Linked DNA regions of Struthio camelus. The protein of the gene in region 3 interacts with the protein of the main gene of each other region in a pairwise test. Links are inferred from orthologs where the notes say so. Each region holds a gene or a part of one and is shown on either strand. Other genes may lie near its edges.

The links.
Region 1: the proteins of EIF4ENIF1 (region 3) and EFHC1 interact in binary tests that used the Homo sapiens proteins (3 or more experiments, as listed by UniProt). The two-hybrid records come from large-scale screens. The link is inferred for Struthio camelus from reciprocal best matches to the Homo sapiens genes EIF4ENIF1 and EFHC1.
Region 2: the proteins of EIF4ENIF1 (region 3) and EIF4E2 interact in binary tests that used the Homo sapiens proteins (3 or more experiments, as listed by UniProt). The two-hybrid records come from large-scale screens. The link is inferred for Struthio camelus from reciprocal best matches to the Homo sapiens genes EIF4ENIF1 and EIF4E2.

What each region holds. Positions count from the first base shown.
Region 1 is NC_090944.1:11,501,557-11,511,541, forward strand, and holds the start of EFHC1 (EF-hand domain-containing protein 1), read right to left. Parts: upstream 4,171-9,985; 5' UTR 4,092-4,170; coding exon 4,029-4,091; intron 1,937-4,028; exon of another isoform or gene 1-1,936. UniProt on the Homo sapiens protein: Microtubule inner protein (MIP) part of the dynein-decorated doublet microtubules (DMTs) in cilia axoneme, which is required for motile cilia beating.
Region 2 is NC_090950.1:22,232,462-22,243,056, reverse strand, and holds the start of EIF4E2 (eukaryotic translation initiation factor 4E type 2), read left to right. Parts: upstream 1-6,087; 5' UTR 6,088-6,228; coding exon 6,229-6,248; intron 6,249-7,028; coding exon 7,029-7,143; intron 7,144-8,431; coding exon 8,432-8,566; intron 8,567-10,595. Other genes in the region: cytochrome P450 2J5, read left to right, coding at 429-578, 1,056-1,216, 2,379-2,564, 2,975-3,116, 3,308-3,495, 4,311-4,452, 5,496-5,674. UniProt on the Homo sapiens protein: Recognizes and binds the 7-methylguanosine-containing mRNA cap during an early step in the initiation. Acts as a repressor of translation initiation.
Region 3 is NC_090958.1:8,295,015-8,305,245, forward strand, and holds the start of EIF4ENIF1 (eukaryotic translation initiation factor 4E transporter), read right to left. Parts: upstream 4,719-10,231; 5' UTR 4,595-4,718; intron 4,208-4,594; 5' UTR 4,204-4,207; coding exon 4,084-4,203; intron 1-4,083. Other genes in the region: protein SFI1 homolog, read left to right, coding at 7,022-7,041, 9,082-9,276. UniProt on the Homo sapiens protein: EIF4E-binding protein that regulates translation and stability of mRNAs in processing bodies (P-bodies). Plays a key role in P-bodies to coordinate the storage of translationally inactive mRNAs in the cytoplasm and prevent their degradation.

The DNA.
Region 1 (9,985 bases), on a different chromosome or scaffold from region 3:
AACAAGTTCAGGAGAAAACAAGGTAGAGTTTACCGAAGCTATGTTAACAGAACATTTTATAAATATTATCCCTGCCACAGAATTGCATTTCCTTCTGTTAAATCAATGCCAAGGGGAAAGCAGTGGGAAAAATATTCAAGGAAAACCAGGAAGTTTGTCTTTAAATTGGGTAACATCAGTGTTTGTCAGAAGTGCACAGGCTTTTAAGGACCCGCAGTTGCCTGAAGAAAACACCTCATAACTTCGTAAGACTCCTGGGTCAACAGGCTCATAGAAGTGAGCATGAATGCCAGACTACATCTCACAATATCAGATGACTAATGCACATGTAACAGGGAAAGCCCAGAATGTAAACTCCTAATCTCAGTTGCTTCCAGTCCATATCTGAAGAAATGCCACTGAACAAAGCCCCTCTTTTTGCAAAGTCTATAATGCTTCGTACAGTGCCATTTCCCCTCCCAGCGTTTCTGTTCTTCTGCCACAGGAATACTAATCAAAAACAATACTACCTCATTTATATGCAGAGGTTTTCTTCAGCACATCTCAACGTTCACCTGGAAAATAAGTATCACAATGCCCATTTTCCAGGTGGGGAAACTGATGCAAAATGAGTTGATACTATTTACCCAAACTAATTCTGAGGAACGTTGCAAAGCTGTTTCTGGAGTCCAGATCTCCTTAAAACATTAACAATGGTTTAACATTCCAACTAAATGTTGTTACGCTAAAATAACAATCCACTCTGCTAAATCCTGCAGGTGTTATTCACACACACAGCTCTACTGAAGTCAGTAGAAGCATTCACATGACTAAAGCAGGCGGGATATTTCTGAAATAGGAAATAATCTTTTGTGAGGTGCGGAGATTTGCATTGCAAATTTTTAAAAACTTATAGATGACATTGAGGAAAAATATTATTAAGCTGAGACTAATACTGAATAACCTTTATACCTGCATGATTAAGAGTATTATTAAGAGTAAATGACTTCGCTTACCGTTGAAGAACTCAGCTGTCACTAACTTAATATAGTTGGACAGTTCATTTCAGTTCGTTTCAGAAAGCACCAGTAAGACTGGTACAGTGACAATTTATCCTTGAGTATCTCTAATCCACAGACAAGCAAAATAAAGATAAGAAGGGGTTCCGCTATAGAAAATAGAGAAAATTGGGTTCCTATAAATGCATCTAGAATGAACTGGACTGGGTTTTTATCAGAGTGCATCATAAGACAATCCATGTCAAGAGCACATCTATCAAGCAGATACCAGTGACAAGAACACTACTGCTATAAGAAACATAAGGTGTTATCTTCGTAAGGGAGCATTAGATTCCATCGGTGTTCTTAAAATCCTTCAGAGGTTCCTCCACCCCTCGCTTGAGAAGCAATCAAGAGTTACAGAAGTTTCTATTGTAGAAGTTTCAGCATTTCCACTGGAACATCAGGTAAGCATGAGGTCTATGTCCCAGAAGGTAAGAGGCTGTAGTGGGTGATATGGGAAGAGCAGAGCAGGCTAAGTGGCAACAGGGTTCACCATCCCTTGAGAAAGTTAGCCATATCAGATCCCAAAGGGTGGACTGGATTAGTAAGAGGATCTCTCTATTGGAGAGATCACTCTAGGGGAGTTATCAGGAACACATAGAAATGCTTGCTCTGGATGTGTCAGTTTTCAGTGGGAGTATCCACGACAAGGAATACTGTCCTACGGCATCTCTTTTCTTGAGGTAAGGCATGTTCCACGGCAAACGTTCACACGCAAGTGCATGAGGTTACTTATCCTACAATATCAGAGCATATTAGGGCCCTGTTCCCAAGGCCAGGCACCATGAATGTACCTGAAGGGAACAGGGGGAAGATGGGGCTTGACCTGGAATACTGAGCCACATGGAAATGAGAGAGCCCCTTAAGGATATGGAGCTCCAGGGCAATGTCAGGTCTGCTCACGTGTTCCCTACAACAGTTTGGAGTAGGGAGTATTGCCTTCAAGTGAAGCAGAGTCAGGAGAGTTCAAGGATACTGGTTTCTCAAACTGACATTAGTGGTATTGAGTCGAAGATGGGTAATGATGTCAAGACTCAATATATTAGTTCCCCCAGGGAGGGCAGAGCAGTTGACAGGTCTGCAGCAGTACTTAAGATTCAGGGCACATCCGTCCCTGTCTGTGTGGGCAGTACTTTCTCAAGAGGATATAACGAGGGTTTGGGGTTATCAGATCCTCACTACATCAGACCACTGGGAATGGGGGAAAGAAGGGGTTGCTTCCTCATTTAGGTATTAATTCCAGTGCAGAGGATGAGGAAGAGATTGCTTCTTCCAAGGAATACTGAGAGGAGCTGAAAGGGTCTCACTTCCTCTGGAGGATCTTGGAAGGCCTGGTGGTATCAGGTCTTTGGAGGAATACCAGTTCTCTGAAGACTATCAGTTACTCAGGTTCCAGGGCATCAGTTCCCTGTGGACTATAAAGGATTCAGTTCTCCAAGGGATACGGGGAGTGTTCAGAGGGCATTTGCAGAAGTATCAGACCTTTGGTGGAAGGGGTATCGGAAATATATTGGTTGAACAGGAGACAGGCCACTTCAGAGTGCGCATTTGTCCCTTTAACAAAGTTTGGCGAGTTCAGGACATATCTGTTTGAGTGATTCATTCGTTGTGGAGTACTACTAGAGTTTTGGCAGGTATTGGTTCTCCTGGGGATACCAAGACAGTTGAAGGGAGACCAGGTGAGTTTATGGGTCCTGGTTCTGGGCAGTATCAGAATGAGTGGTGAAGTCACAGCACATGCTGTTCAGAAAACTGAGACGGTTCAGAGAAACAACAGTTTTCTTGCGGGACTCAGGTTTCAATACTGTCAAGTGAGTTTGGGGATACTCCTTCCCCAGAGGTATGACATGGATTGGAAGGGGAAGTACTGGATAGATTCAGGCATGCTGGATCCCCTTGGGGTGAGTCTGCAGATAGTGGTTCACAAGACAGGGTCAACACAATTCAACAGGTGATAGTTCTGTGGTTAGCAAGAAAACTTTGGGAATCTCAAATGAGCCTGGAGGAACCTAGCTCTCCAAAGCGCTCTCTCCTCTTTGAGGAGGTGGATGCAAGATGTAATGGGTTCCTTGGGGATGGGTTCAAGAGTACCGAGTACCCTGAGTAGTGGGCTCAGTATACCCTCAAATCCATTCCCAAGGGATCAGGTCTATTGGGAGGGCTTAGGAGTAGGGTCAGGGGCTACGAGGCGGAGTGAGAAGGTATCAGGTCCCCCAGAAGTGAGCTCAGGGGCATCAGTTGGGTTTGGGAAATACCAGATTCTCCAGGGGTGAGTTCAGAGGGTACTGAGTCCTTGAGGAAGGTCAGGTGAGTTCAGGGGGTACCAGGTCCCCCTGGGGTCCCCTGCCAGGGTACCAGCTCCCCTAGGGGAATCGGAGGCAGACGCCGAGGGAGAATGAGGTGCGCAACGTGGGGTGGTCAGTGGGTACCAGTTCCCCTACAGGATATTAAGTGCATTTGCAGGGGGTTACCAGGTCACCTGGGGAAATTAGAGCAGGGGCTGAGGAAGTAATAAGTTATCTAGGGGAGAGATCAAGGGGTATCAGGTGCCCTAGGGGGTATTAGATGAGTTTGAGGGGGAGGGTACTGGGTCTCCTTGGGGAATCAGAGGGAGGGCTGAGAGAGTACCACATGCCCTGGGGGAATTAGGTGAGTTTTGAGGGATACCGGGTCTCTGGGGTGGAATTAGAGGGGGACTGACAGAGTACAGATCCCCTCGGGGGAATTAGGTGAGTTTGAGGGGGATGTGGGGCCTCCTGGAGGAATTGGAGAGGGGCTGAGAGAGTACCAGGTCCCCGGGGTGGGGGGCGCTCAGGGGGTACCAGATCCCCTGAGGGGGCCGGGGCGGTGGGGGGGGGAGGGGGGGGGCAGAGCAATAACGGCTCCCTAGAGCAGGTGGGGGGTGCAGAGGCCCGGCCCTCGGGGGGGTCGGGCCGGAGTAGGGGGGCGGCTCCCAGGAGGCAGGATGGGCCGGGCGGCGGCGCTCACCGTGGGGTCCCTGAAGGCGCTGCCCGGCAGGAAGGGCAGCCCCTGCCCCGGCTGCGAGCTCATGGCGGCGGCGGCGGCGCTGCCTCAGCGGGCTGCCGCGGCGCCCCGTGACGCCGTCTCCATGGCAACCGCCGGCCGGCCCAACGCGCAGGCGCAGCTGGGAGTTGGGCGCCTGCGCGCTGAGCCGGCCGGCGCGCTCCGCGCCTGCGCATGGAGGCGAGCCGGCGCGCTCCGCGCCTGCGCGGTGAACGAAAGGGCGCGAAGGGGGAGAGGCGGGGAAGTTGCCGTGGCAACGCGAGGGCGGCAGCGCCATGGCGGCGGGGGGTGGGGGGGAGCGGCCGCCAAGGCGAGCGGGGAAGGCCAGAGTGACCTTAGCCTTGGTGGCATCCAGGCGCCCTTTTTTGGGGTGGTCCCTGTCCTGTGCTGCGGCCAGGGAGGGGAGCAGGCATGCAGGGCCACAACCGTGCCTGAGACGCTCCAAATTATATTAACCCGGTAAATTAAGGGCGTTGATTTAGTACCTACATCGCAGTATGAGCTGGGGAACAGCAGGTTCGGTCCAGCCGAGCACGGATGCGCTGCCTCCTTTTTGTGCTCGTCTCTTTCGGAAGGAACGAGGAGGAAGCAGCAGGGCCATCGTGGACAGGGCTGTTGCGCAAAAATCGCCCCTCGACACCACAGGAGAGAGGGAGGCAGGTCAGCCACCGAGGGGAAAAGAGCTGTCTGCGTTTCTTTCCCTCCGTGTCTGCGTCACCAGTGCCCGCCGCCGGCCGGGCTGCGGTGCCGGGGCAGGCAGCGGGATCTGGGCGTTTCGTAAGCAGAAGCCAAGCGGTGGGAGATGCAGCTGGATCCTCTCTCTGGCCGTGGTGGGGGAGAGAGGAGAAGAGCAGCCGGTGGGAGATAAGGAACGGGCCCAATGAGCTTAGAAAGGAAAATAAGAGTCTGAAGGCCAAGGAGTGCGGAAAGTGCGGGGTTTGAAAGACAGCAAGCAGCTGTGGGACTGCTGGCTCGGATGCAGCTGCTGGGACCTCACTTCTCTCTTTGGCTGATTATTTCTCTTGTTGCGGTGTCCAAGGACCATTTCGCAGGGCGTCCTGAGCTTAGCAAGAGCCAATACCCTGCCCAGGGAAGGATGCTGCGGTCTCCTTTCTCTGTGCTCGCCAGCGTCTGCTCAAACCAGCCTGCTCTTGAGCACCTTTTCCTCGGCCGCAGCAGCTGACTGTAGTTTGTCTCTGTGGGCCAAGCATCATCCTCTAAGGAAACGGCAGCAACGCCTTGCAAAGTGGCAGAGCGCCGCTGTGTGCACCCTGCAAGGGGAAGAAGTGCTGCTGTATGCCTGCGTGAGCCAGGAATTAAGCCCAAGCGAGGCTTAGGGACTTATCTAGGGTCACAAAGGAAGACCCTAGGTCCTGGACGTGAACAGGGACACGACCAGGAGACTGTGGCCTCAGCACTTTCCTCCTGGGTGTTTTAAGGGAGATGTGAATGGAGAGCGGAAGATTAAGGAAAGCCATAGCAGAAACTGATACTTTCTTAGGGTAGGAATAGTGGCCATATGGCAGGAGAGAGGAGAAATGAGGAATAAGGAACTGAACTGGAACTCACAAAATCTGGATTCAGCTGCATCTTTGATATCAACAGGCAAGTCAGGCTTAAGATGAGCCCCTTTAGTCTCCTACATCCCAACTTTTTTTTAGTAAAAGGGAAAAGGAACAATGTTTCCTTTAGCAAGCTTTCCCATCCCTTATCTGTTTAAAAGTCACATGTTTTGGAGCAAAGAATGTGCTATGATGTGTATATACACTACTGTGATACATAGGAATAAAAAAATCTAACCTATGAATGCCCTTGCTGCAAGGAGAGTGGATGATGTTTCAATATGCCCCACCTGTGGTCTGAGGAGTCCTGGGGATACAGGGGTTATTTCCAGTGGGTCTGTTAAAAGACACTGAGAAACACAGGCTTATTGTCAGTAACCTCAGACTTGCTACCTGAGTGTCCCCATGTCTACTGAACTGTTCAGGGATTCACAAATCAGACTGCTCTCCTACACTACTTGCTATGACTGCTTCGTTGTCTCATTTGCCAACAGACACCCTGAAGAAGCAATACAAGTTTGGGTTGCTTTTTTCCTGTGCCCCATCTATTTGCCCCCCCCCCCCCCCCCCCCCCCCAGGACCAAATATTTGATAGAGGTATGTTAGAAAAGAGACTGCTAAGATTTAAGTGTAGTGCTCTTTTCTTCAGAGCTAGGGGAGTTGTTCTGGATCGAGAGTAAGTCTCATCTTCAACCAGAACAAAGCAAAGTGTTTTGATAAGATAAAGGATGAGGAAACGCTGGGGACAGCTGCAGAATTTAAGACCACAGCAGGTAGCATGCCTAGAGGTTGAGGCATGTACAATCCTGCTTTCCAGGGCTGTTAAGCCTCCGCTTCTCTCTCTGAAGTCAACAGGAGCAGCAGGCAACACTGGGAATAATTCTTCCCCTGACCTAGTCATTGAGACCATCTCTGATAGCTGCTTAGCAGAACAAAGAAGGCAACGTCTCATTTAGAGCTGTTTGCTAACACTCAGCTGCTTAGACTGCATTATCACTGAGCTGCAAGGATAAGACCAAATAAAGCTTTCTCATTAGGTAAAATAACCACATCAAGGTCTTTCTTCTGAGGCAACTAACTGCTGCAATATCTGATTCCTCGCCTCTGTGGTGACATCTGAAATGACTGAAACAAAGTGCTTTTTTCTTCTCCTTTGGAAGCGCTTTTACTTTTTGTATTTGACTCCATGCAGTTGGGATAAGCCAGTTCTGGCCTCTTCTGCGAATAATCAGCTCTATCTTTTCAAGCACCAAGGATATGTGTGTGTAATACTAAATAATGAAGGACATTTAATAAATACATTCTCTAAAACAGTAACACCTCGGTGTTACTGCCTCGGTTACTCGGTTACAGTTTCTTCTCAGCATACCACAAATCTCTATTTTAATTTCTAGTTAAAAAAGCTAACAGCCCTATTTTTGTGTTTTGGTATTTTCTCCCATTCCTCTAAAGTTTTTATTTTATGGAAACATAAAACTGGGGCCTAACTCGTCTGGTGAAATCCCTGTCACTTACCCAGAGGGCCAGACTCTAGCACATCCCTCGTGCAGAAATGCATGTCTCTGCAGAGTTGGATGGATGCCTGCTTGTATGGGAGCATTTTTTCCTAAGCCTGTCTGGAGAGCTAGCACTGAAGGCTCTGCTTTCGTGGCACTGGAGGCCTTTTGTAGCTGCCGATGGCGAAGACATCTCGCCCTCTGGTGGTTGAAAACATGACAGTACCTAAGTCTTGATCTGCATGTTATATTACAAAATTATAAATAAAATTGTAAGTATGATGGTCATAGAAGGAAATATTGCAAATTTCTTAGATGACTGAAATTCACAGTGAGTGTATATCCTGTGGGATGGGGTACGTACACGATCACACAGCTATCGGCAAGAGGAGTAGGAGCTCTGGCCTTGTTTCACGTAGGCCCATGACTAACTGATGGATATCGCTTCTGCTGGTCATGTCTTTTTGCTTTATTTTAAACATGTGCCGAAATGCTTTGCTTGAAGTGGCACTTGTGTTCACAGCTCTGCCACTGAAGCTGCGCTGCTCTGGACCAGGCCCACCAAGACATTTAGACACTTGCCTCCAACAGAAGTTAAGGAGAACTCAGCACCAAAATACTTTTGCAGATGATGACCTTTAATCCCTGTAATCAGTGTCAAGGCAGTCATTCTGCACCTCCTCTGTGAAAAGGGAATGATAATCACATAGTTACTGTGAAGCCTGGAAAATGCTTGGAGATACACAGATAAAAACTGCACCCTACTGTTAATTATAATTACTACCCACTCCTACTCTAAAAGGCCAAATTTTCTTCCTAATGACTCAAAACCTTCTCTAGTTTTGCATTTGTGCATTTCACACCACACCAATCATTTTGCTTTTACACATGTCTATTTTCACTGAGGAGTTTAAATAATGATCAGTGCAATACAAGGCTTAAAATATTGTCAATGTTTTCAACAATACAAAGTCAGCAAATGGGGATTGGGAACAGAATGGTTAATACGTAACACTCATACTCTTCCCTGTTTTCCAGGGAAAAATACAAATGCCTTTGTACTTATGTTTAGTAACAAACAGTGCTTAAAAACAATCTTGTCAGTAAAAGATGTAAATAGCAAGGCACAGGAGGAACCTGTCCTTGCCCTGTTACACAAATCAATCAGCGTAAATATAAGTTTAAGGCATCTCTTTCCATCCTCCTCGTCTGCTCCTTATACCAAGCAAATTCTGTCAGTGGGTATTAGCTGGGGTCCCCACAGGATGAATCCCAAAAGGGAACAGCATAAGGCACGCTGGGATGAATTCTCAGGAGCTGACCGGTACGTATCTGGGGCTACAAGAGCTGCAAAAATGCTACTGCAGGACTGGAGATTCCTGCGGGAGAGGGTTAGGACCTTGGTCCCTTCATGACTCACTCTCAGAAGTGCTCAGCCTTTGGTGGTCAGCTCTCCACCAAACCCCTGCAGCTGGTCACATGCCTTCCAGCCATGCCTCCTTAGAGGAGCACCAGGATGGAAGAAGGTGCACTCCAGGCCCTGAGCCCAAAGCACGAGTCCCTGAGATGCCTTCAGATGGGCCAAGCGTTTAGCACAGCAGCACTTTTACTCTCTCAGGACGCAGTCACGGTCTTCTCCCCTAGATCAACAGCACAGCTTTGAGGAGGGCATTGGTAGCCACCTTCCAGTCCCAGCCCAGGTGAGATGCAGCAGACTGCAGAGCATACAGAGTCTGCACAGGTAGGCAGCCAGGTGCATAAGGCACAAGGATAAATTCTTGGGATGAGGAAAATAAATTAAGTGGTTGGAGGAAGAGGAGGAGGAAAGACACATGGATGGAGGAAGCTCCAGTGTAGACGAGCCTCTTGTGACACAAAGGTGCATTCCCCACAGCAGCAGCGATCTATATTGCAATTCCCTGCTACATCAGCCCATCATAGTAACCAGGAGGTCAGCTCCAGGTCTGAGTGCAGGGTCACATGGGGACACGGGTGGCATCACCTGAGGGGTAACATGGGAATAGGTCAAATCACCACCACCATCACACACAGAATTGTTCCAGAAAGTTCTCTTTCTGGCCAAAGTTTCACTTCTACTAGACCAGGGAGGAGATGACATGGTGTGACCAGAAATGCCAGGAGCAGCCTCTCACCTCAGAAGAGCCATAAGGCACCTCCTCTTCCCAGTGAGAGGAACTGGATGGCATTGCTGTATTTATCCTCCTTTGCCTAGGACAGGACATATTAACTATTTTCAGACTCTTAGAGAAGGAAAGGCCTGGGTGATCCCTGCCTTCAGTACCAGTATAACTCTAGGTGAGCAGCAGAGCAGGGCTTGTTATTAGCAGCAATGCCCTCTCCTTCTCATTTTTAGCACAGAAAGGGGCAGTGGACCAGCCCGGCTTACTCCCCTTCCTGCACAGAAACCCGTTTATCCCAGCCAGATCCACACTAGGTGGCTTCTTTTGCTTTAAACTACTGCAAAAGCAAGGCAAGTTTGTCTCTGAGAAGAAATAACGCTCCCACTGGAAGTCATTCCCTGAACTGGGAGGAGACCCAAAAGTAAAGTGGCAGAGACCATGAAGGGGGCAGTCCATCAGCTAAGACAGTCAAGTAACCAACTGCTGTTGTAAGGAAGAACTGCTGTTTGCCTCCGCTTCAGCTTTGTGTACCCAACCCTTCCCTGCAGGCAGTGGTGTTGTCCAAGTGAGCTGGCTGAAAGTTAAAACCAGCAGAAAATTAGTCACCTTTTTTTCACTAGAGGTGGTTGTCTGCAGGTCCATCTCCCTGCATTGGCTCACTCTGAGGTCAAATGAGATTCTGTGCAAGGGAAGAGGCACGAGGAGGTGTTAGTGGGACTGTC
Region 2 (10,595 bases), on a different chromosome or scaffold from region 3:
CCACATCCTTCTGAAATGTGGGGCCCTAAATGTGCATGCAGTACACAAAATCAGCGGGTTTATACCAACAAAAAAAAACATTTATATGCTTGCATAGCCTGGGCAATTCTTAGTAATTGAGCATGTTACCAACCTATCTCAGGAAGTCTTTGCAGTAAAAGGCATAAAGTTGTAAGCGTATCAACTAGTAGGACTCAGTGTGTGTTGAGTATCTTTCTAGGTAAAGAAGGAGAAAAGGAAAGGCGGACATGGGGATTAAGTAGATGTGAAAAAAACAGCACAAACATCTCTGAGTTCTTATGCAAGTACTGTTGGGGATCCTTCCAAATTCATGCTGGCAAGTCTTCGAACCACTGTAATTTCATCAACCCTGCTTATGGGAAAGCCAGACCCATACTTCTCCCCAGTCATTCTCCATTTCATTGCAGGCATCATCTTTTCCAATGGGCACACCTGGAAGGAGCAGAGACGGTTCAGCCTGATGACTCTGCGGAACCTGGGTCTAGGCAAAAAAAGCCTGGAAGCCTGGATCCAGGAGGAAGCCAACTGCCTGGTCAAGGTCTTTGCCAGAGAAAGAGGTGAAACATAGATCTGTATGTGGTCATGACATGGCACAAATATCTCACTTTCTGTTTGAATGAGTACTGACTCACTGACCGGCATGTGGAAGGGCTCATTCTCCTTGAGTATTTCAAACCCTGTCTTTTCTACTGGAGGTTGCCAGTTTCCCTAATTTCTACAGATGATGCTTTCACAATTCATTTTGCACTCAGCTGGAACATCACATCTGACTCATTGCTTTCCCTCTAACCCTTTACTGGGGAAAGTACTGGGGAAGTACTCCTAAATTGTCCTTTTCTGCAGGATGGAATCCTTCCCTCATTCATTATAAAGGTGCCCAAAGAATGATCTCCCAATTAGACTCTTGTATCTTGACCCCTGCAGGATCAGTTATTTGTGTAATCCCATGCAAATCAGGAGTAGGCTGGATGGAAGTGTGACAATCGGCCATAGCCTGCACAAGAAGATAATGATGCAACTTTCTCTATTCATAGGCAGACCTATGGATCCCTCTCTCCCCATCCTTTCTTCCATCAACAACGTGATTGCTGCTGTGCTTTTTGGACATTGCTTCTCTACAGAGGCTGATGCGTTCCAGAGGCTGCTCAAAGGCTCGCAGGCCATGGCGGGATTCCTAGGCACCTTCTGGCCTCGAGTAAGCAAAAGATTGACCCATTCCCTCCAACTATATCAAAACCCTCTGGCCTTCCTCAGTGAGCTGTGGCATGAAATAGCCATTCTTTGCCAATGCCCAGTGATAAATAAGAGCTCTTGACTAAAGAAGACTGAGAGGCGATCTCATCAATGTGTACAAGTATCTGAAGGGGGACGGGGGGTGTTGAGAGGATGAGGCCAGTCTCTTCTCCATGGTGCCCAGTGACAGGACAAGAGGCAACGGGCACAAACTGAAACACAGGAAGTTCGGTCTGAACATGAGGACAAACTTCTTTCCTGTGAGGGTGACTGAGCACTGGAACAGGTTGCCCAGAGAGGTTGTGGAGTCTCCTTCCCTGGAGATATTCAAAACCCACCTGGACGCGATCCTGGGAAATATGCTCTAGGTGACCCTGCTTGAGCAAGGGGGTTGGACTAGATGATCTCCAGAGGTCCCTTCCAACCTCAGCCATTCTGTGATTCTGTGGTTCTGTGAAATACTGAACTCCGCTAAAAACAGCACTCCAGTTCCATTCTTTCTCAGTAATGGTTCCTCCACAAGCATTCATGGCTATCTCTGTCCACAGACCCATTGAATCTCCCACACTAATTCTCTTTCGACAGATTGATCTGACTTTATATTAAGATTATTCAGCATCAAGCCTGCCTTGGGGCCACACTCAGGTTTTTCCTCTTAGCTTTTTCCTCGAAGGGTTCTTTAATAGCCTACTTTTCCTATGTTAGATTGGGATCCTTCCAAACCGTTCAAAAAAATAGAGAAAGTTAACATTGTTGTGGCTTTGAGAACTACAGCAAAGTGCTGACTTAAGGTGTAAGAGGGAACAGGCATTTAGGGAGAGGCTTCACTTAGAAAACATAAGGAAAGCTGTACTGTAGCAGATTTAAATCCATCAACTCTAAAAGGTATTAGTGGAAAGCAGGTAATCTGGAAAGTAACTGTATGCTAATGATCACCCTTTGCACACTTTCTTCCTCCAAAATAGATAATAAATAAAATTAAGTGGTCATTTATTTCCTATAGTTTGACAAATAATATACCTGGATCATAGCCATGGTCAGCCACGGTTCAGCTGTGAACGTTTAGGCTTTAAAGAGTAGCTAAGATGTCACGGTGTTCCCTGTACCTGTATTTTCATGTGCAGCTCTACGATACTTTCCCATCACTGTTGAAGCACTTAAGCCCTGTGTTAATGAGATCACTGGTGGCATTAAAACACCTGCAGGATCTACGTACAGTTATTAAGGATGAGATCAGGAACCACCAGGAGAGCTGGGTGCCTGGAGAGCCACGGGACTTCATTGATGCATACCTAGCTCAGATGTTAAAGGTAACAAATAACTAACTGTCTTTTGTGCAGCTGCAGCATATTTAGAATACTTGTAGCCAAGATACTTCCAGCTGCATGTCTACCTCCTCCTCTTCTTCCTTCTCAGAGTCTATTTGTTGGGATATGTTTCTTTTAACTCACCCTCAAAAGCAAAGTATTTTCGCAAAGTACTAAGGATGTTCCTTGGTAGTCACCACAGAAACAGTAATGTTTCTCTACTCTCGACTGGAAAAAAAGTGTATTGTACACTGCTGTCCTCAGGAAGATTTTTTTTAACAGATCTATATGGCTGCTAGTTTTCCAGCTTCATCAATTCACTGTGGAACCTCTGAGGCAAAAAGCTCTGTTGCTGGAAATGTGCTATGCTATTAAAACTGCTTTACATTGCATTCATTGTCTCACATCTGAAGACAAAGGATGACCCCACATCTACGTTTAAAGAGACCAACATGGTGCAAGTGATCACAGACCTCTTCATAGCGGGTTCAGACACCACCACTATCACGTTATGCTGGGCTCTCCTCTACATGATGATGTACCCAGAAGTACAAGGTGAGAAATGCATGCACCTGCATTTACATCTGTGACTGTCCTTGCGCACTGCAGAGTAATAAGCAAAATTCAGTTGTCTCCCCTGCCCAAATTTTGCAGTTTAAGATGTCTTTGGCTGTTTGAGTCTCAGCATAGAGCCTAAGTATCAACTGCCTTCCTGAATGCTCACTACTAGCCTTTTTCTTCTGCAGAACGAGTCCAAGAAGAATTAGATGCTGTCATTGGTCCATCTCGTGCAATTGAATATAAGGACCGAGTGATCTTGCCGTACACAAATGCAGTTCTGCATGAGATTATGCGTTACAGCAGCATAAGTGCCATAGGGGTAATGCGCAAGTGCACCCAGGATACCATTCTACAAGGCTTCCCTATCACTAAGGTATGTTAAAGCCACAATATTTTTTGGTATGATCCTTAGATAAAGCAAAGAAAGGCAATCGATTCTTTTTACCTTTTTAACACCATATGTTGTGCTTATATTTTGCCCCAGGCAAAGCTGAGTTTGAACAACTTGTGCAAAACTCTTCATTGTGAATAGGAGGCAGGACATTATCTACATCCTACAGTAGAAATAAACTCCTACTCAGCTTCACTATCCTTTTGCAAAGATGCTCCTTATAATGGTTTTTCTATACCAGATTTCAGGAGTTAGATCAGTATAATTATATCAGTATAATGATCTTGTTCTTCTTTAAAACTGATGCAAGTCAAAGCCAAGTAGAAAAAACAAAGAAAATCTTGAATAATAGTGTTCATAGACACAACTTATTGTATAAGCAGAATGCTTTAGATCCATATCCAACCTTATACAGGTGGTCTTCCCAATGGACAAGACCTGTGTGGCTCTCAGGGAAGATGCCTTTGAAAAAGCAAGATGAAAAGTCAGAGGTCTTGGGACTGTGAAGCCTTCAATTCAGCATTTTTTTCCAAAGTTTCTGATTATTGCAAGCACAATTTTCTTGTAAAATACTGTGCTCTGATGCTCTAGAATCAATGTTAGAAAATACCTAATCATTTCTAAATAAGCTATTCTGCAGGAGAGAGCTTAGCATGACCGTGTTTCTCATCCCATAATAATTAGATGGCACATGCATTGGGCAATTTCAAGAGAGCAATTGGCACTTTGGCAATTTATGACATTAGTGCCTAACTTTGTGAAAAAGATCCTTTTATGTTCATTTTCTCTTTCTGTAGGGCACCTTAATTTTCCCCAACATATTTTCTGTCCTGTATGACAAAGAGCAATGGGTGACTCCTCGACAGTTTAACCCTGGTCATTTCCTGGACAAGGATGGAAACTTTGTGAGCAGAGAAGCCTTCATGCTCTTTTCTGCAGGTGAGAGCAATCCTCAGTATTGCTCACAGCTTTCCTATAGTGATTGTTTCACAGGCCAAAACCTTCCTAACATTCGATCTGCCACGAGTATTTTTGTTCATTCCCATAATAAGGTCTATGCAGCAAAAGACAGAGGTGCTGATTTCAGAGACCGGTAGCAGCTTCACCTTCTTGAGGAAAAAAAACTAAGACTACCTAGTGTCTGAAATTCTCAACAAAATGAACTGCGATTGTGGAAATGAGGTAGATTGTCCCGTGGGAAAAAAATGACAAATTAAAGATCCCTCAGAGAGCAGGGGATAGAAGTCTGTTTACTAATTAAGAACTGGCTCCTGGAAGATACTGGAAATCTCTACCAATATTGATATCAGTGGACACCAAGAGGCCAGCAGATGAAGCTGCTGCATATCAGGTTTATTTATGAACAGCATCTACATATGAACAATTTTTAGAACGCACATTCCTGATCTACAGGTTAAGGATTTTCTCTGACTCTATCCATGTCGTAAGTTGGTGGAGAAACAGAAAGTACTTTGGTCAGAAATCTGATCATTAATTCTGCTGGATAGCAGAAATTATTGGGCAGAGGTTTGTAAAAAGCTATGAGAAGATTCTCTTCTCATGGGGCAATGTCTTCTCTTCTCATGTAGTGTGAGGGGAAGCTGAAGGAGGGATTATCTCCCTGCCCTCTATGAACTGTCCATTAACCTCTCCTAACACATCAGGCATTGCAGGGTTTTACTGGTATATTTTTTCTCTCCTCTTCCCATCTCGGACGCTATCCATGTCTCAGGTGAGAGACACTAGAGAAATACAGCGACCGTAGACGTTGGAAGGGGCTGTAGATCTCAGCAGCTCTGTTCACAGGGTGCCCCAAGATGAGTGTTAACAGATCTAGAGCACTTCTCTGCTTTCATACCGCAGTAAGTGGCTACACGTAGGGACTGCAAATCTCTCCTGTTCTTCTGGGCTTCACAGCAGAGATGTGCTCTTGCCTACGCGGGGGTGAAGCCCACGCATGACACATTCTCCTCGCTCCGCAGGCCACCGCGTGTGTTTGGGGGAAGGGCTGGCCAGGATGAACCTCTTCATCAGCTTCAGCAGCCTGCTGCGGGCCTTCACCTTCCGGCTGCCGGAGGGAGTGAAGGAAGCCGATGACCGGCCCATCGTGGGGTTCATCCTCCAGCCGCACCCGTACAAGACCTGCGCCATCCCTCGCTAGACGCTGAGGGGAAGAAGAAGGGATGGGCGCAGGCTGTCTGGCTGAGGGCCGCCCTGTCACCACAGGAGCTAGCCGGGAGTTTTAGGTGACATATGGTCACCCTTTATCCACCAGAGACAACTGAACAGTATGAATAAAACGGGGAAGCTACCTGAACCCCTCGGCCTGTGTCTCTCCGCACTGGGCGGCCTCGCCGAGGGCAGGGCGCCACCCGCCTTTGGCGGCACGCCCGACTCGTGCCACTCCCAGCATGGCGGCTCTGCCCGCGCTCGCCGCGCTCAAGATGGCGGCGGTTCTGCACGCATTCAAGATGGCGCCCCTCCCGAGTCGCGAGAGAGTCAGCACTCAAGATGGTGGAAGGGGGGGGGGGGGAAGCCCCTTCCTTTTGCCCCTCCCTTAGTTCCTTCCGTTGTGCTCTGCGCTTATGTCGCCGGGGGAAAGCGCGACTCTGTGTCGGAGCCGCCCTGCCGTCGGAAGTGGAGGAAGGTTTTGGAGGGAGGACTCGGCAGAGCGGAAGTCGCTGAGGTGGACGGAGGTGGCGGCAGCGAGCGACGATGAACAACAAATTCGACGCGTGAGTCGGCGGCGGGGCCGTCCCCGACCGCCGCTACCGCCGGCCCGGGGGGCTGTGCGGTCTCCCCTGCCCCCCAGCCCGCCCCGGGGCTTCCCCCCCCCCCCAGCGGCGGCGCTGCCCCGGCGCCGTTGGGGCGGGACGCGATGAGTCACCGGGCTTCGCACAGCCCCGTTCTGCCCCCTCAGGACGGCCCGGCCCGGCCCCGGGGCTCCCGCCCGGTCCTGAGGAGAGCGGGCTCGGGGGGGGTGGGTGGGTCTGGCGGCATAGGGCCTTGCTCGCGACGAGGGGGTCCGCCTTCTGGCCCCACTTCTCTCTCCTCTTTTCCGGCCCTTCGCAGGGAAGGGGGCGGGCGGCGAGACCTGTGGGGCGCAGGGTGCCGGCGTGGTGTCTGCCCGCCCGGGGGACAGTCTCCGCTAGGCTTAGGGGCGGGGAGAGCTGGGTGGCTGAGAGTCAGCAAAACTGCGGTGGGTGGTCGCCTTGTTTGCCTCCCAAGCAGTCAGGTTTTTGTGCAGCAGATCTCTGTCCGTTATGAAGTGCTTGACTTTGTCCTAAAAAGGCATTTTGTTGCAGGCTTCTGCTTAAAAGTGTGTACCTAAGGTGCTTGTGATGGGCTCTGGGCATGACAAATCCCATCCGTAGTTTTCACTGTGTAGGTTGTCAAGTGTAGCTTTCCAAGCGCGGGTGGCTCTTGTGTGACATAGGAGCTTAGAAGCAGGGGCTGATGAGGCTTCTCGATTGTGACGTACAGGACTGTCATTCATTCTTTATTTCATTAACCAGTTTGAAGGATGATGATAGTGGAGATCATGACCAGAACGAGGAGAACAACACACAGAAAGACAGTGAGAAGGAAAAGAATGATCGAGAGAAACCACAGAGTAGTACCAAGAGGAAGGTAAGGGGCTGGCACCTGTGTTCTGTCACTAGGGCGTGATGGTGGAACGCTAGAGTGTTCTCAGTGCGGGGATAAGAAGAACACGTCTTAGTGTGCTATGGTCACTTTGTATACTGTTACTGCTGTAATGAAGATGGGGGGCTGTGTTAGCATTTGTTTAACTTGACATAGCATTCGGGGTATATGATCTGAGGGGTGAATGCTCCTTTCACAAACGCAGCTAATGCTCTGGCCGGCTTTTGAATGGGGAAGTGGGGAGAGGAAGGGGGAATGACTGACTGACTGACTGACTGAGTAGTGACTTGCAGTTGGCTTTCCAAGCTATGCTTTTTTGCCATTGTTGAAATAATCCTTAAGACGGGATCTGTATGAGGGTAAAGTAGCCTAGTTAGGAAGGCAAATACCCATCCTGTTTTTTATCTTGTGCTTAGGAAGACTGTACTCTCTGAAGTAATACAATCCTTATAAACTTGCTGTAGGCTAGTGGAGAGTAGGGATTTAAACCCTACTTGCTCTTGTAACAATATCAAGTGATGCAAGGTGATGGGTTTTTGGTGTTTTGGGTTTTTTTTTTTTTTTTTCTCCTGGCACTTGCGACTCTAGGGTAAGGACTTCTCATCTACCCATTTTATGCTCTTTAGAAACCTTTTTATTGCAAGTGGATGGAGACTGGAAAGTGATCGCTACCTACTGTTAGCAGTGGGTTCTGCCAAAGCTGACATAACAAGTTTTGAGACAGACTAATCCTTCCAGAGTCTTAGGGTGTTGGTTGCTTGGGGGAGCTGCTGTCACCAGGGAGTTATAATTGCTTTTGGATCATGATTCAGTGTAAATGGGCTTTGCTCTTCTCAGGGAATGAGAATGGCTTTTTCTTTTTCCTTAATTAAAAAAATTAAGCTCTTCTACTGCCCCTTTAGTTGGTCTATCTGTTTCCTTTGAGAAACTCACAGTCAAGGACTAAAACAAAAACTTAGTAATACTGTCTTTAATTATGATGAGGGTTACTTTGCGTGACACTCCCTCAAGCATAAGTTTTGTTACTTCCTTAGCCATCCCTGTACTGCAAATTTCTATTATTCTTTTGAAATAGAGTCAGCTGCTGTTAACCTAATGGTCCATGCCAGATAGTTAACAGAGATGGTATTTTTCTATGAAAATGAGGATGAGTTGTTTGTTTTACACTCGGTAGGGGCGGGAATATGTAGACCACTGATGCCCTGGATGTTACTTTTCCCATTCCCCTTCTAGAGGAGTGAATAAGGAATAAGCAAGCTTTTCTGTTCTGCAGGCTGTTGTCCCAGGGCCAGCTGAGCACCCCCTGCAGTATAATTACACTTTTTGGTACTCCAGACGAACACCTGGGAGGCCTACAAGCTCGCAGAGTTATGAACAGAACATCAAACAGATTGGCACCTTTGCCTCAGTGAGTATGTTCCTGTTGTTCTTGTCACCTGGGCATGGTGTGGTTGTCTTGGCTGGCTTAACTCCTCTTTGTTAGGGATATGCACGTGCATGCTCTGCTCTTCGTGTTGGGCAGAGGAGAGAAAGTGATGTGCCACGATTTTACAGGTGAGATTTTGAATTGCCTGCAGCAGGTGACATGTCTAAAGCAGTTCTCCTTTGCCCTGTGCTAGATAGACATCAGTGCCTGCAGTAATGGTGGAAGCTGGAATAATAATAGCAAGTGAAAAGAACTCCTGTTTAGCTTAAATTGGATAGCTGGAGCGGAACTTGGCGGGTAAGCAAAGAGAAGAAGGGAACAGCTTTTTCTGTGTGTGGAATTTGAATGCTGTGTAGTTGTACAGCCTGTTTTTTGTCTGTATCTCCACCACAAACGGTATATTTGGAACAGGCGTCTGGTCTGCTATACGTAAAAGTGGCTGATGGTCTTGTGTCCTTTAGCTGTCTGAAAGTGATTGAGGTGTGGTTTGGTGTTGCAGTGAAGTTTATTTGAAGGCAAACAGCTGTCCCTTCCCCTCCCACTCTTTTTGATGGTTTGTTGCTAGAATAACTTGAGCATACCCTGGAAGGGCAATGTTGGATTGTTGCATAGTACCGATAATCTGAAATAGTCATTAAGATCCCAAGAGACACAGGAAAAAACATGTCCTTAGTTGCAGAGGCACCAAATATAATGCTGTTCTCAAGTCCATTGGCTGCTTGGTGCCTGCTTGGGTTATTTCGGGAACTTGATTGTTAGGACAGCAGAGGAATTGCCTTTTTTTTTTTTTTTTTTTTTTTTTTTTAAATCTTACATTTTCCTCCAGATGGTCTAGGGTCTCCTGCAAATGTTAATTCTTCCCATCAGTAAATCTCTCTTCTGCAATGCTGGAATTTGTAAAAATATCCCTTTATCCCTTATGGGGGCTGCAAAAAGATGCCTGTCTGGGCAGCTAGCTTGTGTTATTGCATCTGCACAGGGTAAGAATGGGAAGAATAGCTCTAAGCATGTTGAATCACAGGTAGCTCCTGCTCCTGTTCTCCTATGTTATCAATTGCTTTTTCATTCAGTGAATGAACAATTTATGTATGTATTCTCCCAGCTGTCATGACAGCAAGCCCAAATTGCTTGGACTGAGTGTGGCTGCTGTATGGTGATCTGGCAATAACTTTTCAGACTGTTCTTTAAATCAGTATGGACTTAAAATTGATTTTTAGGTCCTTGGAGGACAAACTTCACACATTCTGTTGTCTGCTCTTTGCTGCAAAGAATTTGTGGTTGCTGTGGTGGGCTAGAAATGCTTGATCTCAGTTAGGATGGGCGGCATTGGCCAGAAGATCTGTTAACGTGTTTGATTCCAAATATTCTGTTAAAGGTGGAGAGAAAACAGGTTTCAGAAAGAAGTTTCTGAGGCTAAATCAGGGTTCAGATGTAGTCTTTGCTTTTGATTAGAATGCCCTGAAAGCTTTTAAACGTTAACCGCTAGAGGGCATATTCACTCACTGTAAGAATTTAATTTCTACACTGCGTTTGGATGCGTCTGAGAAAAATAGATTGCTTCTGACCCCACCTCAGTCTTGGTTCATAATTATATTGGCTGTAAAAGGAAATTCCTGCTTGGACAGTAGAGATCAGAGACTGGAGCAGAATTCCAAGTGGTGACCAAGTCATCAGGGTCTCTCTGATAAAGTACTCAGGATGATTTCTAACCCCTGCGGCTTCCCTGCTGGTCTGCTTAATAGCTATTGTCTTACTGAGTATAGTTCTCTTCAAATGTGGAAATTACTAGAATCTTCCCCTGGTGCCTTTTTGTTTTAAAGATCCAACCTCTCTAAAATTCTTTCTCGTTCAGAGAATCTCAAAGGATAAATATTTTATTTTTAATATTTAAAAAAGTAGTTCCGTTGCCTTCAGACTAGACTGTTTGACGTGAATGTGGAGATGTTGTTATGAAAACTGGTGTTTTTGAAGTGGTCAAAGTGTACTGTGACAGATTGTAAAAGGAAATAAG
Region 3 (10,231 bases):
AGAGTTTACACTGGAAAGCAAGTTTATTTTTCAGTTCTTCCACTGATGACCACTGGGCAAACTTTGTCTCAGAAGAACCAATTCATTAATTAGAACTACAGATCATACCTCCCATTACCTTAATCTACAATACCTGAGACAATAATACTGCTTGAGAAGCAAGAGACTGGGCCAAGATAACATTGATACTTCATAAAACAAGCATCTGCACAGAAGAACCCTTTGAGAGCGATTTAGATGTCAGAAGCAGCCTTTTTACTGGTGGAGCTTCCAAAGAGGCAGCTGTTAAGCCTTTAGACTTATAACTACGCATCGTCACATCAGAACTACAAAAAAAACCTGAAAACAAATATACAGTCTTAAATTACTAACCGGTATGAGCAACTTAGTAGCATAATGCCTAGCAAGTGACTTCAGCTTCCCTTTAAAGTTTTTGTCATATTAGATGACTACAGGAGTAAAACTTGCTTTCAGTCTTACATATGCTAACTCTCTAAAGTCACACTTACTTGAAGCACTAAGCCTTACTAGGTCAAGTTCAGTCCTCATTAGCACTTGAAAGGCTATTCACATTGTATATGTTCTACTTATCCACTTCCCTGGACAACTAAACTTACAAGCAAGATAAACATGATTGATATTAGCACTAGTAAGTTTAAGATGCAATGAAAATTGCTATGTTCAATGCTGTATAAGATTCAGAGAGTAAAAAAGTATTACCGCAATACTAGCAATTAAGATAGATCTCAGTTCCAGACAAGCTTGCTATTTCTGACCATCACCAATTCCAACAAAAAAAGACACGTATATTTTACAGTTATATCTACTCAATCCAATGCCAGATCAGTGTTGAATAATTACTTCAGTTTTCCACTTTCTACCAGCTTACAAACAGTCCTTGACTTACAACTGCACACCCCTGAACAGCTGGTCATTTAATCTAGAGTGTCACTGCAGTTTGCCACATTTAGAAAGCTGTATTAATGGTGCGATAGTTGATGCTTTGAATCATGATTAACTCAGCTGCAGCAATAAAGATGTATATTTCTAATTAAACTTACTCCTCTTCCCTAGCTTATCTTACTTCAGTCTGCCTCACTCCCAACTGTACTGAACGGATTCAGAACTGGGTAGAAATCAGTGGAAGCTAGAAGGATAAAGGGATCCTAACAGCAGACACCACATGAACCAAACTGAAGAAGGGAATGTCTCTAACATCCTCCCAAAGATGCAACATTGAACTACAGTGTTCAACAGGTGATTATAGTCACATTGCTTGAAAGACTCCAGATGTCAATTACTCAATAGCTGTACAAAACCTAAGAAAAATATGTATATAGGTACATACACCCTCCCCCCCATAACAGCTTAATATACCAAGGAACACTTCAGCTAGACTGGGAGAAATCATTTGACTGAAGAGGAATATTTGAATGTGACAGGATAACATTTATGCTGGCAATATGTAGAATGGATACTATCTAGCAGACAAGATGGTACTAGCAATTATTACAGTAATGCATTCTGAAGAGTCCATTTTATTTAACCCTATTTAGGGTAAGTCTAGTATTCACATTAATCTTGTTCCCTGCTCTATGCAAGGACTCTAAACCTACTCTTTCCTAGCCCTACTAGAAGTCTGGAATAGAACTTATCCCTGAACCCTAGGGATAAAACCCTAGGTCCCTAAAACTAGGGTAGGGCCACATAGCCATTCTCTATCCTGCACTGGTGTTTCATCATCTTTCTCGAAAAGAAGAGCTGCTGCTTGGAAAGGGCTTGCACCAGAGAAGGGAGTCCCAGACAGCAGGGAGCTCCCAGCATTAACTTGTATTAGCCTTCACCATAAAGAGTTATATTTTCCTAGCAAGACCAGACAGCCTGGAGAGCAGAGCTTTAAAGGGAGGCAGACTGGCCTGCACCCACAGCCTCCCAAAATAAATTATGACCTGTGAGAAACATTAGTACTGTAATACTATCATAGTCTGGATGTAGATATCAGAAGTATTAATGGCATTGTCCACCATCAGATTTCATATTTACTATTTTGCTGGCCACGAGAGGGAGTCCCTAGACTTCCAATCAAATTCTATTGCAAGTCTTCCATTGAAGTGAGGAAGATTTGAATTGTTTTTTTTTAAGCTTTCACTTGTTAGCTGGAGTAACAGCTTTTAAAGAACTAGGAAAGACACAGCTTTGAGAATATAACACATTTCCTCATAATAGAGGAGATTAGTGTTAGCACTTTCACAGTTTTTTTTGATTCACCCAGCAGTACTTTCAAGCAGGTAAGGGGAAAGGTGTGTTTAGCTGTTATTAGGAAGTATTATTCAAGCAGTTTGAGGATTCATAGTGTGAACCAGTCGTTCTCCCACCAGTAGAAAGTGAATATAAATTGTCAAAGGAAAACAGGCCCTCCTCCAAATCAGTATATCTCCTGAAGTACTATTTCTTTCCCCCGCCCCATAGGGAGTTGGATCATGTGAAAACAGCTTTTAATATTAATCCCATGAGCATCTTAAATCAGCTGCATTTAAGGCATGTTAATTGTAAAAAAAAAATAGCAATATTACTATGTGGACATTTTAACATGGATTTATTTTTTTATATATGTTTCTTCACTCCAAGCTCTGTGGAAGCAGATAGATAAACAAGACTAGCTGCCTTCTGGCAATAATTCAGTCACTTTATTCTGAGCAGAATTAGGGGTACAGAGTTAACAGCTGCAGCTACAACTGCACCAATTTCATTGTACAACTACCATCAGTGCTGCCCGAATACTGCTCAAAACAGCCACCAGAATCTCAAGTTGCATTCAGTTATTCTTCTTGAGAAGAGCTGAGTGAGATCAACTGAGAACAGATATAGCTTTTAGGAACAGGGAACGTTCAGAGATAAAGCCACCACCCCCCCCTTGCTTTAGGGGTAACTGAATAACAAGTTCTGAACAATACTATAGTTTGCATCTTGGAAAGTTAAGAGAACATCTTTTCTAAGAAAAGAATTAGAGAAGCCATACTATTCCCATATAAGTTTTGCAGTTTTGAAATACTCAGGCCATTGTTGATGTCTGGTGAAAGTAAGCTAGTTCCACTATCTCAGTGGAACAGAGACACAATGATAGTTTTTTTTAAAACAACCTACTAGGAAACTAACAGTTCAGAATTCCTCAGGCAAGATAATACAGTCAGCAACAGTACACTGTCTCATTCTCTCTTCCTCACTTCAAGCCCTTTGTTGCAAAATATCTTAATAGATTTCTGCAAAGCCATGACCACCTGTTTCCACAGCTTTCAACAATGAAAATATCAACCACCTTCATAAAGGCTTTTGTTCTAAGGAAAAAAAAAAAGTCATCTTTCAGCACAGCACCAAGATCCAAAACAGAATTTGAACCTTAAAAACCTCATGGTTTATCAAAGATTTTTTTTAACACTAGGTAAGTTTATTTGCACATTATTTAACGAGGTTCTTCCACTCATACATTCAGGTATCACAGCTGAGCAAGGGCACCTGTGTTAAAGTTTTAACATTAAAGAGTGGTTGGATGCATAAGTGCTAAGCTTCTAACTCCCAAACAAGACCTGTTCTAAGAAAACATCCAAACAGAAATAAAGTGCCAGTGTGATCTGGCATACTACCTATCCCAAGAAAGTAGCATCATACGACAAGTAAACATTTTGGTCGTGTTCTTAAAGAAACATTGCTGAAAGTAGAACTAAAACAATGAAGTGCAAGTGCTTGAGAAAGCTGGTAGAACAACATACTTCAGGCTCTACCATGTCATCCCCAGCGCACGCTATGAGGTGCACAGATATAATAAGGTGATGGGAACCAAAAGTATATATGAAGGACAGTCAAGATTACACAGTCGCTTCAGATTAAACAAGTTGCTTGTCTCATGCCACCTTGAGAATCTCAACCCAAACAAAGGCCTCTCAAAACCGACCAGTCAGTCAAGTCTGACTTGGACTTTCCAAGTCAGGGAAACCTCTGCCTCCAACTCTACTTCTGTGAGCAACAGCTTCAGGCACCTTTTTTTCTTTTTTTTTTTTTTTTGGGGGGGGGGGAAGAGAAGCTTACTTTTGTGTAACGATGTGGGTATTTCGTTGTAATTCTGTTCAACTCAAGGAAAGCATCCCCATTTTCAGTTTCCGTTACACCTCCTCTTTTATCCATGGCTACTTCAAAGCCTTTGGCCATGGACCTAATAAAAAAAACAAAATCAAGGCATCAAATTTTAAGACACGCGTTTCTGGGGGGGGGGGAAGGGGGGAAAGGGGTGCATTTTCCTTTCAGCCCCCCAAACCATCCTCCAGATGTGACGCCTAACAACCACCACCGCCAGCCACAACAGCACGTTTTTCCTACTTGTCGCTTCCCCCCCTCGGCTGAGCGGCGCCAGCCGGCCGCTGCCCGCGGCTCCGGGGGCGGCGGCACCGAGAGCCCCAGCGCGGGGGCGGCCGGGCAGCGCGGCGCGGCCCGGCCCAGGCCCGTGCCGGGGCGCCGAGGGCCCCCGCGCCCCGCTGAGGGGGCGGGGGCGCCGGGGCAGGTGACTCAGCGGATCCCCACCTGCGCCGCGGCCGCTACTCACCGCGCCGGCGGCGGGTCTCCCGGCGGCGCTCCGCTCCGCTCCAGGCCTCACCGCCGCCGCCCGCGGCGCTTCCTGCTCCCGGCCGCCGGCTCCGCTCCGCCGCCCGGCGCTGCCCGCGGCGGCGCCCCGCTCCCAACCCGCTCCCTTCCCCCACCACCACCTGCCCCGGGCCGGCGCCGCCGCCCGCCGCCGCCTCCGCTCGCGCGGCTCCGGCCCCTCCGCGGCTCCTCGCTCGCTCGCGCGCCCTCTCCCTATTCGCCCGACTCTGGCTCTCCTCAGCCGCCGTAACCGGGGCCTTCCGCTGCCCGCCCCGCACCCCTTTAATGGCCCGCGCGCAGGCGCGGCGGCGGGCGCGCGCCGGGGCTCCCCGCGCCGCGCCTGACTGGAAAGGGCGGGCGGCGGCGGCGGGGAGCGCAACGCCGCCGCCGGCCTGGCGGGGCGCCGCGGGGCGGGGGGGGAGGCGGCCGCCCCGCCGCCGTCTGTGGCGGCCAGCGCGGCGGCGGCGGGTGAGGAGAGAGGCGGGCAGCGCGGGGGGGCCTCAGGCGCGCGCCGCGGGCAGCCCCGCGGGGGAGGAGGCGGCGGGACGGGGGGGAGGGGGGCGCCATGCGCCCGGGGCGGGCGGGACCGGCCTGGGCCTCGGCCCCGGCCGCGGCGATCGCGCTTGACAGCGGCGCGGCCCGCCCGGCCGCCCCGGGTCGCTCCTCTTCCCGGCGCCGTGCCTGCGGGCGCAGGGCGGCTCCCGCGCTCGGAGGAGCCGAGGCGCCTTCGTTTTCGGTCCGTGCGGGCTTCGCCGGGGGGGCGCCCGGCGAAACGGCCTCGACGGGCTGTTTTCTGAAGGAGCGCGCGTGCATAGACGGTGAAGGGACGAGCCGGAAAGGACTACACATACCGCCCGCCTCCATTCGTAGCCCTTTTTGCATGGGTTTGGCGGTTTACCCTTTAAAACAGTGAAGTGTACGTTAAAAAAAAAACGAGCCAGGCCGTGGCCTACACGCTGCACAGCCCTTCAGAAGGTTTTTTTTTTTTTTAAAACGCACTTTATCGGGCTGCCACCTCCGCTCGGTGCAAGCTGGCGTGCCGGCAGGAGAGCAGGCGGGGAAACGCGGGAGGGAGCGGGGCAGCCGGGGCGGGGGCTGCCGGCAGGTCGTGAGCGAGGAGCGGGGCGGGGGCCCTAAGGCCCCTCATGCCCCAAACTCCTTGGACGGAGCTGCACGGGGAGCACATGCAGCGCTGCTGAAGAACGGGCGGGGGGTTTGTCCGTCTGTTTGCCAATTGCCTGAAACGTCAGTAGTAAAGATTATATGTGCGGTCACCTGTGGAACGAAACAAAACCAAACATTTCTCAGTCTTTCCGTAGCTGACAGACCTAAGTGCTGTAGCACGAATAGGGCAGCGCTGCGACTGCTGGAAACTTGACGCCGTAACGCGTACGCTCCCGAGACGAGCGCCGCGGGGGGCCCTGAAGGGCCTCTCGCCTTGCTTTAGCTTCCATAAACGCCCCGATCCTCCTGCTTCGCGCCTTGCGAGGGAGCACAGCCGCTCCCACAGAAAACCCGGGCCACCGGCGAACCGGGGCCGGGAGCCCGGGGCGGCCGCCGCCCCTCCCGCCTGCTGGGGGCCGCTGCGCGCTCGCCCCGCCCCCGCCCCGCCCCCTCTCCCTGCGCGCGGGCGGCGCGCGCCGCGCTGAGGCGCCGCCGCCGCTGCTGCTGCTGCTGCCCGCGCTGTGGTGAGGCGGCGGCGGCGGCAGCCGGGGGGCGGGGGGGAGCGTGAGGGGGTGCGGAGGGCGGGAGGAGGGAGCGGGGGGGGCAGCTCCTTCCCTGGGGGGCCGCTGGGGTGCTGCGTCAGCCGCAGCCGGTTTTCCCGCCGTCCGCGGGGTTTGGGCTGGCCCTGGGTGGTGTTGAGGGTTTCGTTTTCTTCGTCCTCGCGTGCTTGCGGAGGGAGGGGGTAGCGTCTGTAAACAACAGCGACGCGAGGAGGTACGAAAGGAATCAGTTAGCGTAGGTAGCAGGTTTCCCACACCTCGATGGTTTGGAAACAGCGGGTACGTAGCTTAGGGCCTCTTGGCCAGTTTACAGCCCTTTTCCAGTCACGGCCCTGCTTAGCTAGGCGCTGCTGTGGTCTTAGCGTTCAGCTCGTTGCCGCTGTCCGTGGCCGGTAGGGTCTGCCGGCACAGGGCCGTTGGAGCCCGCAGGGCCTGGGCGTGCAGGGGGACGCTGCTCATGCTGAACATCTGCCCTATACTCTGCGCGCAGGGTGGGTGAGGGGAATTCAGGTCGTTTTTAAGAGCTGCAGAGTGAAATTAGCATAGATGGGATTTGATCACATCAGAAATAACAAGAAATAATTTATGCTTTGTCCCAAGATAACATACAACCTTCCTGTGCAGAGAGTGCGCTTGTTTACTGCAGGCTGGGAATTGTAGGCAACATGGAGAAGTGCAAGAGCAGGTAAGCAGTAGTAAGATGCTGCTTTGTTAAAGGACTCGGGCGTATTATTTTCATTATGACAACTTATGCGTTCCATGGCACAGAAACAAATTAAGATTTTTTTTTTTAATTAATTTCCATGGAAGACTCTTAATCAGAAAATGTACCTCTTGGCGGGGGGGAATTACCTTTGTGGTTTATGTTACCATAACGCTAAAATACAAAAGTGAAGTTCTTGAGCTTCAGGTATTAGACTGGGTCATAAGATACTTGGATACAATTGCTTGCCCAGGCACAAATTTCCTCTGTGATATTAAGCAATTCTCTTATCTTTCACATGTTTTTATTTCCTGACTTAAAAAAGGGAAATGATCCTTCTTCAACCCTTATTTTTCTTGGCTACTTCACATAAATTCTCAAGCGCATGGGTTGCCGTCACTGCATATATGTAATAGCTCTCACATACGGTTCTTGATATTTAGGAATAATCTATTATAAATTATGTTTATTGAAAAATCATTACATATTCACATGCCCTGGACTTTTGTTAATACAAACTTCTACATGTTCCACCCATGCTTGATTTTTACTGTTTTCTGTGATGTTGCAGCTGTGTGCATGATCAGACTAAGTTTACCTTTGGAATAGAGTAGAAGGTTTTGAAGGGAACTGGGTCTAATAGAAATGCGCAAGAAATGTACTGGAAGCAATTTTGCATAATTTAAAAAGTGTCTGAAACTCTTTTCTTCAAAAGTGCACGCAATTGCCTCAGCTGCACATCTTGACATGCACAGAATTCTCTTGTCTGCCAGATGTGGCCCTTCTCTTTCAGAAAATAATCAAAATGATATTTTATAGGGGAACAAGAATTTATCTCTGTGGCAAACTACAGGTCTTGTTTTCTTTCGTTAGGTTTGTTTTAGCTTCTTGCAGCCTGCTGGAATGAGCCAAGAGTACTATTTTTTCTTCTATGAGATTTTAACTAATATTGGAATTTTTTTTCTAATTTATTGTGAATGCTTTGAATTGGTGTTCAGCTGAACTCCTGAGACCTATTAGTGTGGATTATTCCAATAACTGTGGACCAAGATTTTTCCTGGCTGCAGCCATATATTTTTCCTAGCTCTCCTCAGGTGATTATTGGGATGAGATTTCAGACTGTCTCTTCTGTTGAGTGTTAAGGAGTTCAAGAATGTTTTTGTGGTTCTAATGTGCAAATTTTCAGGGTGGTGACAGTATTTGTTTTGAGAAAGAAGCTTCAATACAACTGGTTCAACAGGTTTTATCTGGTTAGTTTTTTTTTTTATCATGCTTGTTTTCAGAAAATTGTTGAGGCAAAATACTTAGAATTTGTAAAAACATTTTTCAAATGTTATTTTTCAAATTAGAGCTAGGCTTCAAAATAAACTGCATAATGGAAAAATGTACTTAATTTTGCTTTTTAATGATGGCTATATGAAGACAGGAAGGGATTTTTAGTAATTTTTTTCTTAAAGAAAAAACATAACTGATGCAAGTATAAGCAAAACTAGGGAAGATCTCCTTGTAAACAGACTGCATGTGTAAGTGGCTTTCCTATTAAAGTGATCATTGAGAAATCCTCACCTCAGTTCTGTAGTCCTCAAGAGAGTTTTTCAGCAGTAGACAAAACGGCTTGATTTGTTCAAGAATAAAAAAAGGCAGAAAAACACATTTAAGTCTTATTATTTTCTGTAAAAGCCTTAATTTTTACTGTATATAAGTACATGGGAGGGGAAGCACAAATGCATTTTAGTTCTTTCTCATTTCAACTTTAAAGGAGAAAGGAACTGTCTGTGACATGACTGCTCTGAAATCTGACTTACTGCCGTTCATGGGGAAATGGCCTTACGATTCCAGAAATAAAGTTAGTGAATAATGCGTGACAAGAGAGATGTTAAATGTGTTGTAACGTTGGGTAGCTGTCAGTTTCTCTATGTGATTGTATAGCTTTGTTATAGGTTAATCCATAGAAATGATGCCGCTTCTTTACAATTAACAGGGTCTTACACACAGTATGTTTTCTTTTATTTCCTTTTTAAGTTCAAAATCTCTGAAGATGCGTGCAACCCAACAACTGCATAGACCTAAAATGCATGCAGCTGGTCACTCTGCTGCTTGTCAGTGTGTTGCTCCACGATCTGCTGGACATCGATTTCAGAACGGGGGTCATCACAGTCCATGTCCAGTTGGGTGTATCTGCAATCAAGGAAGAAGGTTAAAAGAACTCCAGATCAGGTGATAAGACCAAAACACAATTTTCACTCAAAGGAGCAGGGGGATAGTTCTCTTCAAGAGTTCTGATGTTTTTAATGATATAACTGAGGGCTAAGGCAAAGGTTTTTCTCACAAGGGTGCCCAAAAATTCTGAAAATGTCTTGTGATGACTTGAGGATGTATGTTAGCACAGTCAGATTTCCTAGGTTTTTGGCTTTCTAATGTAAATTTTAAAAATGGCTATTTAAAAATGTGCTTTCCTGGAGACCGTCAAGTATAATGTTTTAGTCTTTCCCTGCTGTTGCGTTTCTTTCCTTTTGTTTGTTGACGGAATCATGACAAAGATGGGACTGTAACTGTAAAGAGATTTAAGTTTGGTTTTGATTGGACAATTTGATTGGACAAATTGAGCTGATCTAGCAGCTCTGGTATGCTGCAAGAGGGAAGTCCTGTTCATGGCTATGTGCTTTCCTGAAATACCTTGTACTGGCTTTAATGCCTGTTGGGGCCCTCTGTGAGCCAATTTAGCTCTTGAATCCATTAAAAAAAGAAGAGGGGGGTAGGAGGATAGTATCATAACCACATATTAGCAAGCCGGATTGGATCCTGGAGAAGCTTACTGAAAACTAGAACTGATGCGGGGGAGGAAGGAGGAAGGAGGACCTCCCTGTTTCAGGGCTAAACACTAGATAGTGGCTTAGCTCTTTCGGGAATGTAACTTTGACTCAGCTGGTTGATCTCAGAGAAACATTCATGTCCTTTCTTCTAAATGGCATAAAGGCACCCCAGTTAATCAGCAGCCTGCTCTTTAGAATCACTGGGTGTAAGTGGTTGCATGGAAGACATCTCGGCTATCTTGGTTTCAGAAACAAGCATGTCCCAAATCCATCCTGCAGTGATGTGCTGGTCTCTATTTATGCTTAGTGAATAGTCCTGTTAAAGGACTATTTTCAGGCTGTAAATGTTATGTATGTGC